Arabidopsis thaliana: one gene and its partners. The protein of the gene in region 1 purifies or fractionates together with the protein of each later gene. This does not show direct contact. Each region holds a gene or a part of one and is shown on either strand. Other genes may lie near its edges. The genes, in order: AT1G57660, AT1G18540 and AT5G27850.

Region 1 (4,608 bases):
AGGATTGCATCTTGTTGGATAATAAAGGTGAAGATGATGAGGTTGGTATTCAGAAACGAGGGTTGGTGTCTTGTCGCATCGGTTCCGAATGGCGTTTCTCTGAATGGTATCCATTTATAACGGATCATCTATACATTTTCGAAGTTGAAGCAAAGGAGGTGACTTCCACAGAGCTTATTTTTTATTTCGAGATATTCGATGAGTATTCCAAGGCTAGGGAGATAAAAGAATGCGGGATAATCCACCTCTTGGAACATCATGTTGACGACGAAGAAAAGATGGATACAATTGAGAAGGAACCCAAGGTTCACATATAGCAATATGCATTTGTCAAGTGCGTTGATTCTTTTAAAAATGGCTTGAGCCACATGTTTGCACATATCACTATGAGTCTATGTTTGAATGTTTAGAAAATATTCTACAACCATTAAACTTCTTCTCTAACATTTATATATTTCCATTTTCTTACATGTTTTTTTAGAGGATAAGGACAAAGAGATTCATGGTTATGCATAGTTATATGTGAGGCTAACATGACTCTTTCTGAGTATATAAGCTATATGTGAATCATGGGTTCCTTCTATTTTAGTATCTTGATCAGTCACTATTGTTATCACTATACTGTAGTCGGAAATTTTCAAAAACTTTGAAGTTGCTATCGATATCTCAAAATGCGTTAAGTCGAGGAAACGTATAGGAGCTAGAACCAACCTGGATGCTAAGGAGATCTGCGAGACAATTCAGTAAGCTCTTTTTGCTTGCACACATGTTTTATATGGATACATAATACTCATACATAAAACATATAAACAATAATACAAGTAATGTCGATTATGGTAATTTTTTTCTAACCATTTCTATATCATATTACCATTCAAGAATATAGGATAATGACATCGGGGTTGAATCACATTTCCATTCATATTTCTAGCTAATCACATCGCTCTTGACCTCAGATCTTAATCGCACCTAAAATGGATTGCCATTCGGAGCCAATGCCACTGGGAAAATGCATTGTGGTCTATGGTCTACAGATTGTTTACTTGAAACAATACATCTTATATAGGTCAGAGTGATCCATGGATGTCTCTTGTTCAAGAATACTCTATACCTTTTCTCTGCTAAGAAAAAACTTTCCTTTGATTCCTTTTTTTGTTTTAACTGTTAGTGTAACTGTGTAAGATTTTATTCTTACGTTACTATATAACTAGACAATAAGGTTCCCGTTATGAACTAAATTCACATGGAGAAATGAAATTGATATTATTTGGAATAACTTTTTGAGTTTTATAGAGCTTAATCCGGTAAAAAAAAACAGAGGGATTTTAGGATTGTTGTGAATTACATACTAACTTTATGTCCAAATCTCATATTTTGCTCGCATGTAGGGAGTTTTTTTGTAATTAACAAATAGTAGTAACAATATCAAATGTTTTTGTATTCTTGTAAAATTATTTGTTTAGTTTGTTTAAGAAACGAAAGGAAAAATTGAATATTAAAGACCTTTTTCCAAAAGTTTGTCCATCTATATTTTATATAGATAATAACTTTGGTGAGATAGATTTAAGGAAAATTAAAAACCAATTATACTCTTAACTATAAAATGAAATAAAATATAGAATTGAAAAAAAATATGATTCTATATCTCCAAATCCAAAAACCCTCACAAGAATAGAGGCTTACTTCTAAACCCCAATATAAATTTTCAACATAATTTGTCAAGGAGCCTTTTACATTAACGTTGATTTGCAGCATAATTGTTTTTTAAATATGAAAAGAGCATGGAAGGAGGATGAGAAAAAAACACTAGTGGAAAGGAGAAAAGAAAGAAAATTAATTGTTTAGGTTATTATAAGAGAGAATCTATTTTGTATGATTTTTACTTCTAAACTAATCAGAATACTTATTCTAAATTACGTTAGAAACACAATAAATACATAATATTCACCATATATTTGATTACTTATAATATCTTACATAAAGATTTAGTAAACCGAATAAAACACAAACAAGTTTCAGTTTAAGAAGTTTAGTTAAAATTTTAATATTTTACTATAACCAAATTAACTAAACCGAACCAATTCCAAACCGAAATGCACACAAAATTAACATACCAAACTTTGTGCCCAAATTATACAAAATGTAGGGGTAATTAACAAAACAATTACGTACCTCCCCTTTTAACTCCTCAAATCCAATGGGTATTTACAGATCTATGGCCCAATCAGGCCCATTTATGAAAACCCTAATTCACTTTATAAGTGTCATGTTTTTTATCTTAACAATGGCTTCTCTAGGGTTTCAGCCACCAGACTCAAACAGAGAGTGAAAATGCCGGCGGGACACGGAGTGAGGGCGAGAACAAGAGATCTGTTCGCGAGACCATTCAGGAAGAAGGGTTATATTCCACTCTCCACTTACCTCAGAACCTTCAAGGTCGGCGATTACGTCGATGTCAAGGTTAATGGAGCTATCCACAAGGGTATGCCTCATAAGTTCTACCATGGTCGTACTGGTCGCATCTGGAATGTCACTAAGCGTGCCGTTGGTGTTGAAGTCAACAAACAGGTGTTGATTACTCAAATCTCTAATCTGTTTGGAAAAGTTTTGATTGTTGAAATTAGGGTTTGAATGTGATTTTGATTCTTTCATTTGGGGTTTAATTCGTCTTTGTGTGAGCTATCTGTTTTGAATTCTGAGATGTTGGATTGGTATTGGTTCGAAAGATTCAAGCTTTTCTTCTTGGGTCCTTCTTTTGCTATTTGTATTAGTTGCAATCAATCTACTATGATTCTTATTTTTGAAAGCCTTCTCTTTTAGTTTATTGTATTTCTTGGTGGGCTAATTATGTGTTTGGGTTTGGTTTTATAGATTGGGAACAGAATCATAAGGAAGAGGATACATGTGCGTGTGGAGCATGTGCAACAGTCAAGGTGTGCTGAGGAGTTTAAACTCAGAAAGAAGCAGAACGATGTGCTTAAGGCTGATGCTAAAGCCAGAGGAGAGACTATCAGCACCAAGAGACAGCCTAAAGGTCCTAAACCGGGTTTCATGGTCGAAGGTATGACATTGGAGACTGTCACTCCCATTCCTTACGATGTTGTCAACGATCTCAAGGGTGGTTATTGAGTTTTTTCCATTTTATTATCATTCTCTACTCAGAATTTTTGCACTTGCTTTTTTAATGATGTTTTTGTATCAATTAAGACTAATTTCTATATGGTATGAAAGTGCAATTCAGATTTTGTTATTAAGATTGCTTATCATAATCATTTGCTTATTGCATTTGTTTGTTTCTGAAATCATTTATGCATCCTTAGTTAAAACTGAAATGTTTATCAGTAAATCATATAATGCTAGTATCATAGTATGAGACATTTTGATTGTTGTTGAGTAGTCTTTTGTTACTACACTCCAAGGACAATAACCATTGTTTTGATGTGGGATTAATAGAAAACAGTTCCTTGGTAACATAATTACAAACCAAATGTAGAAAATACAAATGTGATATCGTCTTAAACTCGACTCACGATTTCAAGACACCAAATGTAATGCATTTCCACAAAGGAACAATGTTTCAATTCAAGGTTGTGTACTCAGCTGCCTAAGCCAATGGTTACAGTTCAATCTCCAATATAAAAGACATTTTTGTCTGACACTGATTCAGTCTTCTTCTAGCTTTCATTTCAAAGAAACCATCTGCATAATAAAGCAACCGTTGCTCTTCTAATTGTAGATTAGTTTATTCCTTTTAATCCATTAAAACTACATCAAGAAACTGAAGCAAATTTTATTTATTTCCATTAGCAATTGAAGCCACAAAAAACAAAGAGACGAAATCGATAACAAAAGCTCGCTCAGACATGCTTACCTGCCCAACGGCTCGAAATAGCCACAAAACACAAAGAGACGAAATCGAAAACAAAAGCTCGCTCAGACAGACTTATCAGCCCAACGGCTCGAAATAGCCACAACAGAGCCAACTTGACTAGCAAGAATAACCATGGTTGGTGAGGCACACTTGTGAACAATTTCATTTAGTAAGCCGAGCACTGCACCAACCAGCTCAACCGCAGAGCCAAACCATAACCATGGCAGAGCCAGTGGAACGTAAAATGTTTTCACTTTCTTCACACAATCATCTTCTCTTCCTTCACCAGAACGAACAGTGTTAATGATGCCAAGCACTGAACCAATCAGCTCTACCGCCGAACCAAACCATAACCATGGCAGAGCCAGTGCAATGTTAAATGTTTTCACTTTCTTCACGCAACCATCTTCTTTTCTTTCATCAGATTGAACAGCCTTAATGAGTAAGCCGACCACTGCACCAATTAGTTCAACCGCCGAGCCAAACCATAACCATGGCAAAGCCAGTGGAACATTAAGTGTTTTCACTTTCTTCACAAAATCAGCTTCTCTTCTTCCTTCATCAGCGTGAACAGTCTCAGCGAGTAAGCCGAGAATTGCACCAATTAGCTCAACCGCCGAGCTAAACCATGACCAAGGCAGAGTCAGTGGAACGTTAAATGTTTCAACATCCTCCACACAGTTGCCTTCTTTTGCTTCATCAGATTGAATAGTGGTTAAAACTTCCTCAACCGCCTT
Region 2 (4,608 bases), about 15 Mb from region 1:
GATTTTTATTTGTGTTGCTAAAGAAAGAAAGAAAAAATGGAGGATCAGATAAGACAACTTAAAGACATTTTCGACCGGTTCGACATGGACGCAGACGGAAGCTTAACAATCTTAGAACTCGCGGCACTTCTCCGGTCACTCGGTCTCAAACCTTCCGGCGATCAAATCCATGTTTTGTTAGCTAGCATGGACTCAAACGGCAACGGTTTTGTCGAATTCGATGAGCTCGTTGGTACAATTCTTCCTGATCTTAACGAAGAGGTCCTAATCAATTCCGAGCAATTACTCGAGATTTTCAAATCGTTCGATAGAGACGGTAACGGGTTCATAAGTGCGGCTGAGCTTGCAGGAGCAATGGCCAAGATGGGTCAACCATTAACGTATAAAGAATTAACGGAGATGATCAAAGAAGCTGATACAAATGGTGATGGTGTTATAAGCTTTGGAGAGTTTGCTTCAATTATGGCAAAATCTGCTGTTGATTACTTTGGATTAAAAATTAATTCGTGATCATTTCTTATGCTTTTTCATTTATTCATTTTTATAGAAAATCGAATTCATAACACCAGGTCTTAAAGCTAGATTGCTCGAAAATTTGATATATAAAATCAGAGAAAATAGTCTTTAAGATCCAAGGACGATTAAAGATGAAAATACTCAGGGAAACAGATATTCTTAAAATTTGAGAAACAATACGAAATCTAGAAAACAAGCTCATGTGGTTTCATTCCTTGACTCAATGAGAACCTGGCTCCAAGGTAAACCTTGAGCTCTGGGACAGCTTCAATGGATTTGATCAGAGCAGCATCAACGGTTTTCTGGTCTTCCTTCTTCTCCTGTGGGATCTCCTTCTTCTCCTGTTCAACCCAAAGTTTTCAATTAGGTAATGGTACAAAGACAAGAAAACACATAATAACCATTTTTGGATAAAACCAAATATCCATAAGATGATTGTATACCTCTTTCTCAGCTTCGAAGAATTCGCCTTCTGTTTTCTTCTTCTTCTTCTCAGCAACCTTTCCAAAATACTTGTCATCGAATTTCTCAGTGTTGACTCCAGAAATGTCAATCTTTGTGGAGGTTCCAATCACATAGGCTTGGTTAACACGTCTCAATGGAACACCATTAATCTTGAATGGTCCTGAAATGACCAAATCAACAAAGACAAACATTAACATAGGTTCCAAATTGAACAATCAAACCAACACCATCGAGAGATAAGAGTTCACCTGTTACAAGAAGCAAACCAGAAGAAAGTTGCTTGAGGAAGACAACTCTCTTACCCTTGAATCTACCAGCAAGAATGATCAACACAGTTCCTGGAGTGATGCTGGCTCTGCAACACAGAGATAAACAAAACCATATTCATATCAAAAATGAAGCATAGCCATAATCTCTAGGAATCCTACATTTCTAAAAATCCTAACAATTTGTATGGTCTCTCTTATATCACCAGTAGATCCAAAACCATTCTAATACTAGATCTAGCGGAATCAAACTCAAATGAAAATTAAAAACCAATCGAAGAAGAAGATGGATAAATACTTTAGCTTGGTAGGCTTAGGCTTGCGTCTGTTAACAAGCGGCTTCTTGACGTCTTCCGCCGGATAAAACTTGGCAGGCTTCTCAACCGGAGCGTCGACCTTTGGCTGAGCATCGTGACGAGGGAAAACGCCACCGTTCTTGGCCTTGATAGCCCACAAACCTCTCTTGTGGTACATCTGAGACCTCGAATATTTTCCAACTCCCCTGATTAGGTCAGGGTTACGGTTAACCTTGGGAGTCCTCTTCGCCGCCGGCATTTTTTCGGCTTCGGTGGTGTAAAATCTATCAGAGACATAAACCCTAGATTGAGCTTTTATATAGCAGAAAGTAAAAACCTAATGGGCCCTTATGGTCTAGAATACTTTAATATGGGCTTCATATGGGGGTCTAGTGCAAAAGTGTGTTATTGCAAAATATTGGGCTTTAAATGAAGTATTTTTGTACTTACTATTTGGCAGGTAAGTAAAAGTGTTTTTTTGATAAAAATGATATCTATCCCGTTAAACAATTTTGTTCATAAAAATTTTGTTGGATAAGTTATATTTAATCCAATTCTTATACCGGATATTTCATATTTAACAATATACATAATTAGAACTTAGAAGATTTGATTAAAGTTTAAAATTATGACTTTTTTATCATATTTATTTAACTTTTTAAATTGATTTGAATCATCATATAATACATAAAATAAGAGTTACAATTATATCTTATACGTATTATATAGCTTTAAAAAAACACAATACACGACACCAAACATAAGCATAAGAAAAAGAATCATAAAGTATACACTAGATCATAATCTGTATTTGTTTAGCACGGAGAAAAATTTATTTTTTAAATATTTATTTAAAGTTGGATTATTGTCTGTTTTATAATACAATTTTAATCATTCTATACATAATACAAATATTCACTTGTTATAGGGATAGGGGTATGATTTTTTTGGTTTGGTTTGGTTTCAGTTAGGTTTAGTTTTGGTTTTATAAAAACTAAAACCATATAGAAACTATATGTAATTCGATTTGGTTACGATTGGTTTGTACAATTTTTTATTTTATATAAATTAAAACCATATAAAACCATATGTATCTCGACCCATGCTACAACATACAAAATTTTATATATTATATATTTTAAAATAAAATTTATATATTAATTTTGGGATTTTTCTGTTTTGCCGTCGGCATCTCTTAGTGGCGTAAACCCTAATTGACAGTCGAAAGCTTTTAAATATAAGGACGATACCGGCAAAAATAAAATCTAATGGGCCTTATATGGGTTTAATTCAACACTGCTACTCTAATGCTTCCAAAAGAAAACTCCATTCGATAAGGATTTGCTTCCCAGTTCAGGGAGAGGTGAATATTTTTCAAACTAACTCCAATAGTTTGGCATCTTCCTAGAGAGGAAACACCCCGCCTTAGCCACTAGAATATTTCCGACGTAGTTTGGTATCCGAAGTAAACTTTCCTCAACTCCATCCATTGTAGCTCTAAACACCCTAAATTGAGCTTTTAGATAGCAGAAAATAAAAAACCTAATGGGCCCTTATATGGTTTAGAAAACTTTAATATGGGGGTCTCGATATTTTTAGTACCAAAGTGTTTTTATTGCAAAACATTGGGCCTTACATGAAGTATTTTTGTACTTACTATTTGGCGGGTAAGTAAAAGTGTTTTCTTGATAAAAATGGTATCCATCCCGTTAAACAATTTTGTTCATAAAAATTTTGTTGGATAAGTTATATTTAATCCAACTCTTACACCGGATATTTCATATTTAACAATATACATAGTTAAAACTTAGAATATTTGATTAAAGTTTAAAATTATGACTTTTCTATCATATTTGTTTAACTTTTTAAATTGTTTTGAATCATCATATAATACATAAAGTAAGAGTTACAATTATATCTTATACGTATTATATAGCTTTAAAAAACACAATACACGACACCAAACGTAAGTATAAGAAAAAGAATCATAAAGTATACACTAGATCATAATCTGTTTTGGTTTAGCACGGAGAAAAATTAATTTTTAAATATTTATTTAAAGTTGGATTATTGTCTGTTTTATAATACAATTTTAATCATTCTATACATAATACAAATATTTACTTGTTATAGGGATAGGGGTACAATTTTTTTGGTTTGGTTTGGTTTCGGTTAGGTTTAGTTTTGGTTTTATAAAAACTAAAACCATATAGAAACTGTATGTAATTCGATTTGGTTACGATTGGTTTGTACAGTTTTTTTATTTTATATAAATTAAAACCATATAAAACCATATGTATCTCGACCCATGCTACAACATACAAAATTTTATATATTATATATTTTAAAATAAAGTTTCTATATTAATTTTGGGAGTTCTCTGTTTTGCCGCCAGCATCTCTTAGTGGCGTAAACCCTAATTGACAGTCGAAAGTTTTTAAATATAAGGACGATAGCGGCAAAAATAAAACCTAATGGGCCTTATATGGGTTTAATGCAACATCGCTACTCTAATGTTTCCAAAATGAAACTTTATTCGATAAGGAATTGCTTCCCAGTTTAGGGAGAGGTGAATAATTTTTCAAAATAACTCTAATAGTTTGGCATATTCCCAGAGAGGAAACACCCCGCCTTAGCCACTAGAATATTTCCGCGTAGTTTGGTATCCGAAATAAACTTTTCCTCAACTCAATCATGTTTTCAACTGTAGCTCTATCCTCACGGCAGAGATCTAACTCCAAATTATAAACCTTTAGCTTGTTTCTATTGTAAGATAGACGGGCTAGCTGAACAATCTTGGCTGCATGGTTCTCCGATGTGAATTGCACCTCTGCATAGCGTCCTTCCCTACCCTTAATGGTTTGATATGGGTTTCTAGTGGCATGCAAATAATTCTGTTAAAAACAAATAATTTTGTGTAATTTTTTATTTTGTTAACTATGCTTATTTTTAAAAAAAACATATTCATGTATTTTACTATCTTATATGATACACTAAATAAATCTACATATTAAGAAAATAAATTACAAGAGAACAATAAGACAAAATGGTTCATAGATATTTTT
Region 3 (4,608 bases), on another chromosome or scaffold:
AAGAGCAAAGGATACAACTGATATAGTCAAACAAGCGTCCCTCGACACAAAGGAATGGCTAGATAACATGCGACCCCCAGAAAGAAATACCCGAGACCAACTATCATCTACATCGAGAAAGGCTAATTGGCAAAAGCCTCCAGTAGGATGGGTCAAGTGTAACTACGATGTCTCTCACTATGAAGGAAAGATAACCGCGGGTCTTGGCTGGATCATCAGGAATTCACACGGCACATGTATGGACTGCGGAATGGGGAAATTTCAAGGACGCCAAACAATTGAAGAAGGAGAATGTACTGCACTCATTTGGGCTATACAATGCGCATAGGGACTTGGTTATAGGAAGGTAATATTCGAGGGTGACAGCGTCACTGTTACTAGTATCATCAATAGCATAGAGCCCAATCCAAGATTACGACATTATCTTGATTTCATACATCAATGGCGTAAAGCTTTTAACTTCATCGAGTTCAAATTCCGACATCAAGAAAACAACGTCTATGCTGATGTCTTGGTCAAGACAGCTACCAAGAGTAATACAAACTTTGAGTTATATCGAATATGTCCTAGGTTTTTATAGCCGTTTGTATACAATGATGTAAAACATTTGCATTGATAATAATATTGGAAGGAAAAAGAAAAAAATCTAAACGAAATAAAAAATATTAATTCTATATTTCTAAGTAAACTCTTATTCATTATGTTTAATATTTTGTTACTACATTTATACTCTAAAACTTCAAAAAGTATTTAAGTTAATTATCTTATGCTTTTGCTGATAAAACAAAAAGTAAGAAAATAATTCTATAGGATTTTGTTTACTCACAAGTGTAAAATAATTCTTTATGTTTTGTAGTCAATTTTAACAAACTTTAATTACAATGAAGTAACTAACGTCATTACATACACATCTTGTACAAAAAAGAAATATCAAATCATCTCTCTCTTAACTTTATTGGATGAAAGTTCACATCAACAAAACAAACAATAATTATTAATAATTTGTATGTAGTAAAATCTTATAAATACAAAACTGTAAAGCAAACTAAAAATTATGGAAGTAAGAACATATCAATTATTATGTCATGTTAAAACCGATTGCACCATTTTATTGTATCTATGAACATCATCTATTAGTTTTTTTTAGCTGGCAAACAAGATCCTAATTTTTGTATAAAACTTTAGCAATAATGCATTACAAAAACCTTCTGATTGTCATAAAAGATTAAATTAAGAAATAAGAATGAAGACTAGAGAGAATAAAACTCGAAACAAGAGTTTTCTTATTGCTTTCTCTTTCTCTTCTCTTTTTCTCTGTTTTCTCTATATCTTATAAATGAATGAAATGAGTTATATATAGTAGAGCTTACTTAGCTAGGAAGTAAATTACTTAGAGAATAGTAATGGATAAACATCATCCATATCTTAAAGATGAAGTAATGGATAAACATCATCCATATTTTAAGAAGGAAATAATGGATAAACATCATCTATATCTTAAGGAAGAAATAATGGATAAACATCATCCATATCTTATGGATAGAGATGAATGATGGATAATGACATCCATACTTATCCGGTTTATAACACTGATCAAAATAATACCATTATTCTACGTTCTCTAATCGTGAATCCTCATAATTGAGATATACAGTTTTATTTTTTCTGAAGACAATAATCTACACTTAATATACTTGAATAAAAAATTTATTTGTCTTACCATAAAAAGAAAGAGTAAAATATTGATTTTGATCTCAACAAAATCATATAACCGAAGCCGAAGGATGTGAAACAAATGGGCTTCTAGTTTGGGCCCAAATAGCCTAAAGCGAAGATAAAGCCCATAAAAACCTAAAATGTAAGCGAGCTTGCTTGTTGCTCCTATAAATTCATAAACCCTAACTTCGTTTTCCTCTCGCAGACGCAGCCATGGTAAATTCTTGATCTCCGCCTCTCAATCTCCGTTTCTTATGTATTACAAAATGAATTCTCCGTTTGCGAGCTTGATCTAGTTGGTTTAGCGTGTAATGGTTCCTTAGGTTTCTGATGTTTCGTTATGGATTTGCATTTGAGTGTTTTATCGTTGTTGTTATTTTAGGGTATCGATCTTATCGCAGGAGGTAAGAGTAAGAAGACCAAAAGGACTGCTCCTAAGTCCGATGATGTCTACCTAAAGCTTCTCGTCAAGGTAACAAATATTGACATGTCTTTTACTTATGTTTCTCTGTCTGTTACATTTTGGTTTATTGAGATTTGTTTGTGTTTTTGATAAATTTTGTAGCTTTACCGGTTTTTGGTGAGGAGATCTAACAGCAACTTCAATGCTGTGATTCTGAAAAGGCTTTTCATGAGCAAAGTCAACAAAGCTCCTCTTTCACTCTCTAGGCTTGTAGAGTTCATGACTGGCAAGGTTCGATCTTTTTGAGACCCATCTCTCTTTATATACATCTTGAGTCTGTCCTTGGTCTTAATTTGGAACCCCATTTATTTTATTTTCATTCTGTGAAGTTATGAGTTTTGACGTTGTCCTGTTATGTTAGTATGTGAGAACAAATGTACAAACTTGATTTTGTATCTTACTATTCAGTGATGGTTAGAGTACTCAAATGTTGTGGTTTGTCTATTTATTAGGATGACAAGATTGCTGTGTTGGTTGGAACTATCACTGATGATTTGAGAGTTCATGAGATTCCTGCCATGAAGGTTACTGCCTTGAGGTTTACTGAGAGGGCTAGGGCTAGAATTGAGAAAGCTGGTGGAGAGTGCTTAACCTTTGACCAGCTTGCTCTCAGAGCTCCATTGGGACAGAACACAGTAAGTAAAATTTTACACTATCTGAATGTTTAGGATAATTCAAGTTTATATATGAAACTGAGCTGTGTTTGATATGTTGTGACAGGTTCTTCTTAGAGGACCAAAGAACTCGCGTGAAGCAGTGAAGCATTTCGGACCTGCTCCTGGTGTGCCACACAGTAACACTAAGCCATATGTTAGGCATAAGGGAAGGAAGTTTGAGAAAGCTAGAGGAAAGCGAAAGAGTCGTGGATTCAAGGTCTAAGAAGATGTTTTCTGGTTTCGTTTTGCTTGGTTTAAGTATCGAAGTTTTGGTAGGGAACGCTGGTTCCTCTTTACCCTGTTCCAGACTTTGTTTTAAGTTCTGTTTTTCTATTCTCAAGACAATTGGATATTTTGCTTTGTCTTTTAATCTTACTACTATTAGCTGCAATGAGATTTTATCTAGAATTTGGATTTGATCAGTATTTGGAGTTCATAGTATCATTATGGTCTATTTCGTTTTGTATTTCTCTTCCTTGGAAATAAAATATCTGTACATGAGTATTAAAATGTGTAAACAACCCTGAAAAATGTTCTGTTTCGTACTAACCCACCTAATTCGTTGTCTATTAGGTTCTAGCAAAAATCGTATATCCATAATCATAATGAAGCTTGTCAAATAAGAACGCATCAAGTCTTCTCAGCACAAGTGGATGTAATCCAACAACATTGGAACACAGCTCCATGGTAACAGGAGATGGCTCGAAAGTTCCATACTGAATCTTGCAAGTTGGAAATGGTTTTAATGTACGCACGGATAAAATCTCAGTAACCATTTCTCGGGTTTCCAAGAAGAACAGTGTGCGATAACACAAACTTTAAGACTAAACAAGAAAATAGAAGTAAAACAAATCCATGACAGGATTAGTCCTCTGGAAAAACAAAACAAGGATCTGAATCACCAAACAGATACGGAAACTAGAATCTAATCAAATACCATCTTACATTCTTCTTGTTGTTGAGATTCTGTCATCGAGACAAAAGCGAAAAATACTAGTCGAAACTTGCGTTTAAGAACTTAAGCAGTTCATTTCTTTTGCTCTCTGCAGCTTTGTCCTCTTTGGACTTGTCAACCTTCAGCAGAATCTATAGCCAAACACATCAGAAGAAGGAAGTGAGAAAAGAAAACAGAAAATAGTTGTGTAGGGTGTAATATTAGACAACCCTAAAGAGAGTCTCAGACTAACTTTTTTCCCTGAAACAGCACTTCTACGTTCACCATCGTCTTTGTCGCGGTTCAAAAACTGAATCATGAAAGAAACTGAATCATAAAACATGGACTTCATATAAACTTTAGATCTTTATGGGTATATATAGCTATAGTACCTTTGATAGTTTTACAGGCCCGCTACTTCCTTCTCCTTCCCCTTTCTATACAACACTCACATTGCCAGGACCAAAAAGATAAACACAAACAAAACGAAGATAACACAAAGTCCCCAGTTTATCATGTCACCAACCCCAGCTCCAATTTCGAAGAGGCCACAGAGAAAGGCAAAAGAAGTATTATAAGAAACTTGTTATCTTGATGAGAATCTATTCAAAGCGTAATGAGAAAATAATGGCCAACCTTTCTTTCTCTGTTCTTATGCCGTTTATGACGATGACTCTTGCTTCGTTCCTTATCCTTAGCCTTTAAACAAAAAATGGTACTTTTAAGCTAAACACTATAACAGAGAAACTTCACATGATTAAGAATTGAGTACAGAAAGTAACCTTCTTTGGCTTTTCATGCTTCTTGTGCCTTCGTGACTTCTCATGCTCACTATCTGA

The links.
Region 2: the proteins of AT1G57660 (region 1) and AT1G18540 fractionate together in Arabidopsis thaliana (co-fractionation; one large-scale study listed by BioGRID). This does not show direct contact.
Region 3: the proteins of AT1G57660 (region 1) and AT5G27850 fractionate together in Arabidopsis thaliana (co-fractionation; one large-scale study listed by BioGRID). This does not show direct contact.

The regions. Positions count from the first base shown.
Region 1 is NC_003070.9:21,353,236-21,357,843, forward strand, and holds AT1G57660 (Translation protein SH3-like family protein), read left to right. Parts: upstream 1-2,239; 5' UTR 2,240-2,331; coding exon 2,332-2,568; intron 2,569-2,871; coding exon 2,872-3,129; 3' UTR 3,130-3,402; downstream 3,403-4,608. Other genes in the region: AT1G57650 (ATP binding protein), read left to right, coding at 1-305, 957-1,076; AT1G57670 (Toll-Interleukin-Resistance (TIR) domain family protein), read right to left, coding at 3,934-4,608.
Region 2 is NC_003070.9:6,376,747-6,381,354, forward strand, and holds the start of AT1G18540 (Ribosomal protein L6 family protein), read right to left. Parts: upstream 1,835-4,608; 5' UTR 1,803-1,834; coding exon 1,546-1,802; intron 1,337-1,545; coding exon 1,230-1,336; intron 1,142-1,229; coding exon 960-1,141; intron 858-959; coding exon 702-857; 3' UTR 511-701; coding exon of another isoform or gene 37-510; 3' UTR 1-36. Other genes in the region: AT1G18530 (EF hand calcium-binding protein family), read left to right, coding at 37-510.
Region 3 is NC_003076.8:9,871,240-9,875,847, forward strand, and holds AT5G27850 (Ribosomal protein L18e/L15 superfamily protein), read left to right. Parts: upstream 1-1,827; 5' UTR 1,828-1,929; coding exon 1,930-1,932; exon of another isoform or gene 1,933-2,098; coding exon 2,099-2,188; intron 2,189-2,281; coding exon 2,282-2,410; intron 2,411-2,631; coding exon 2,632-2,814; intron 2,815-2,899; coding exon 2,900-3,058; 3' UTR 3,059-3,734; downstream 3,735-4,608. Other genes in the region: AT5G27860 (uncharacterized protein), read right to left, coding at 3,829-3,921, 4,023-4,079, 4,162-4,206, 4,406-4,468, 4,552-4,608.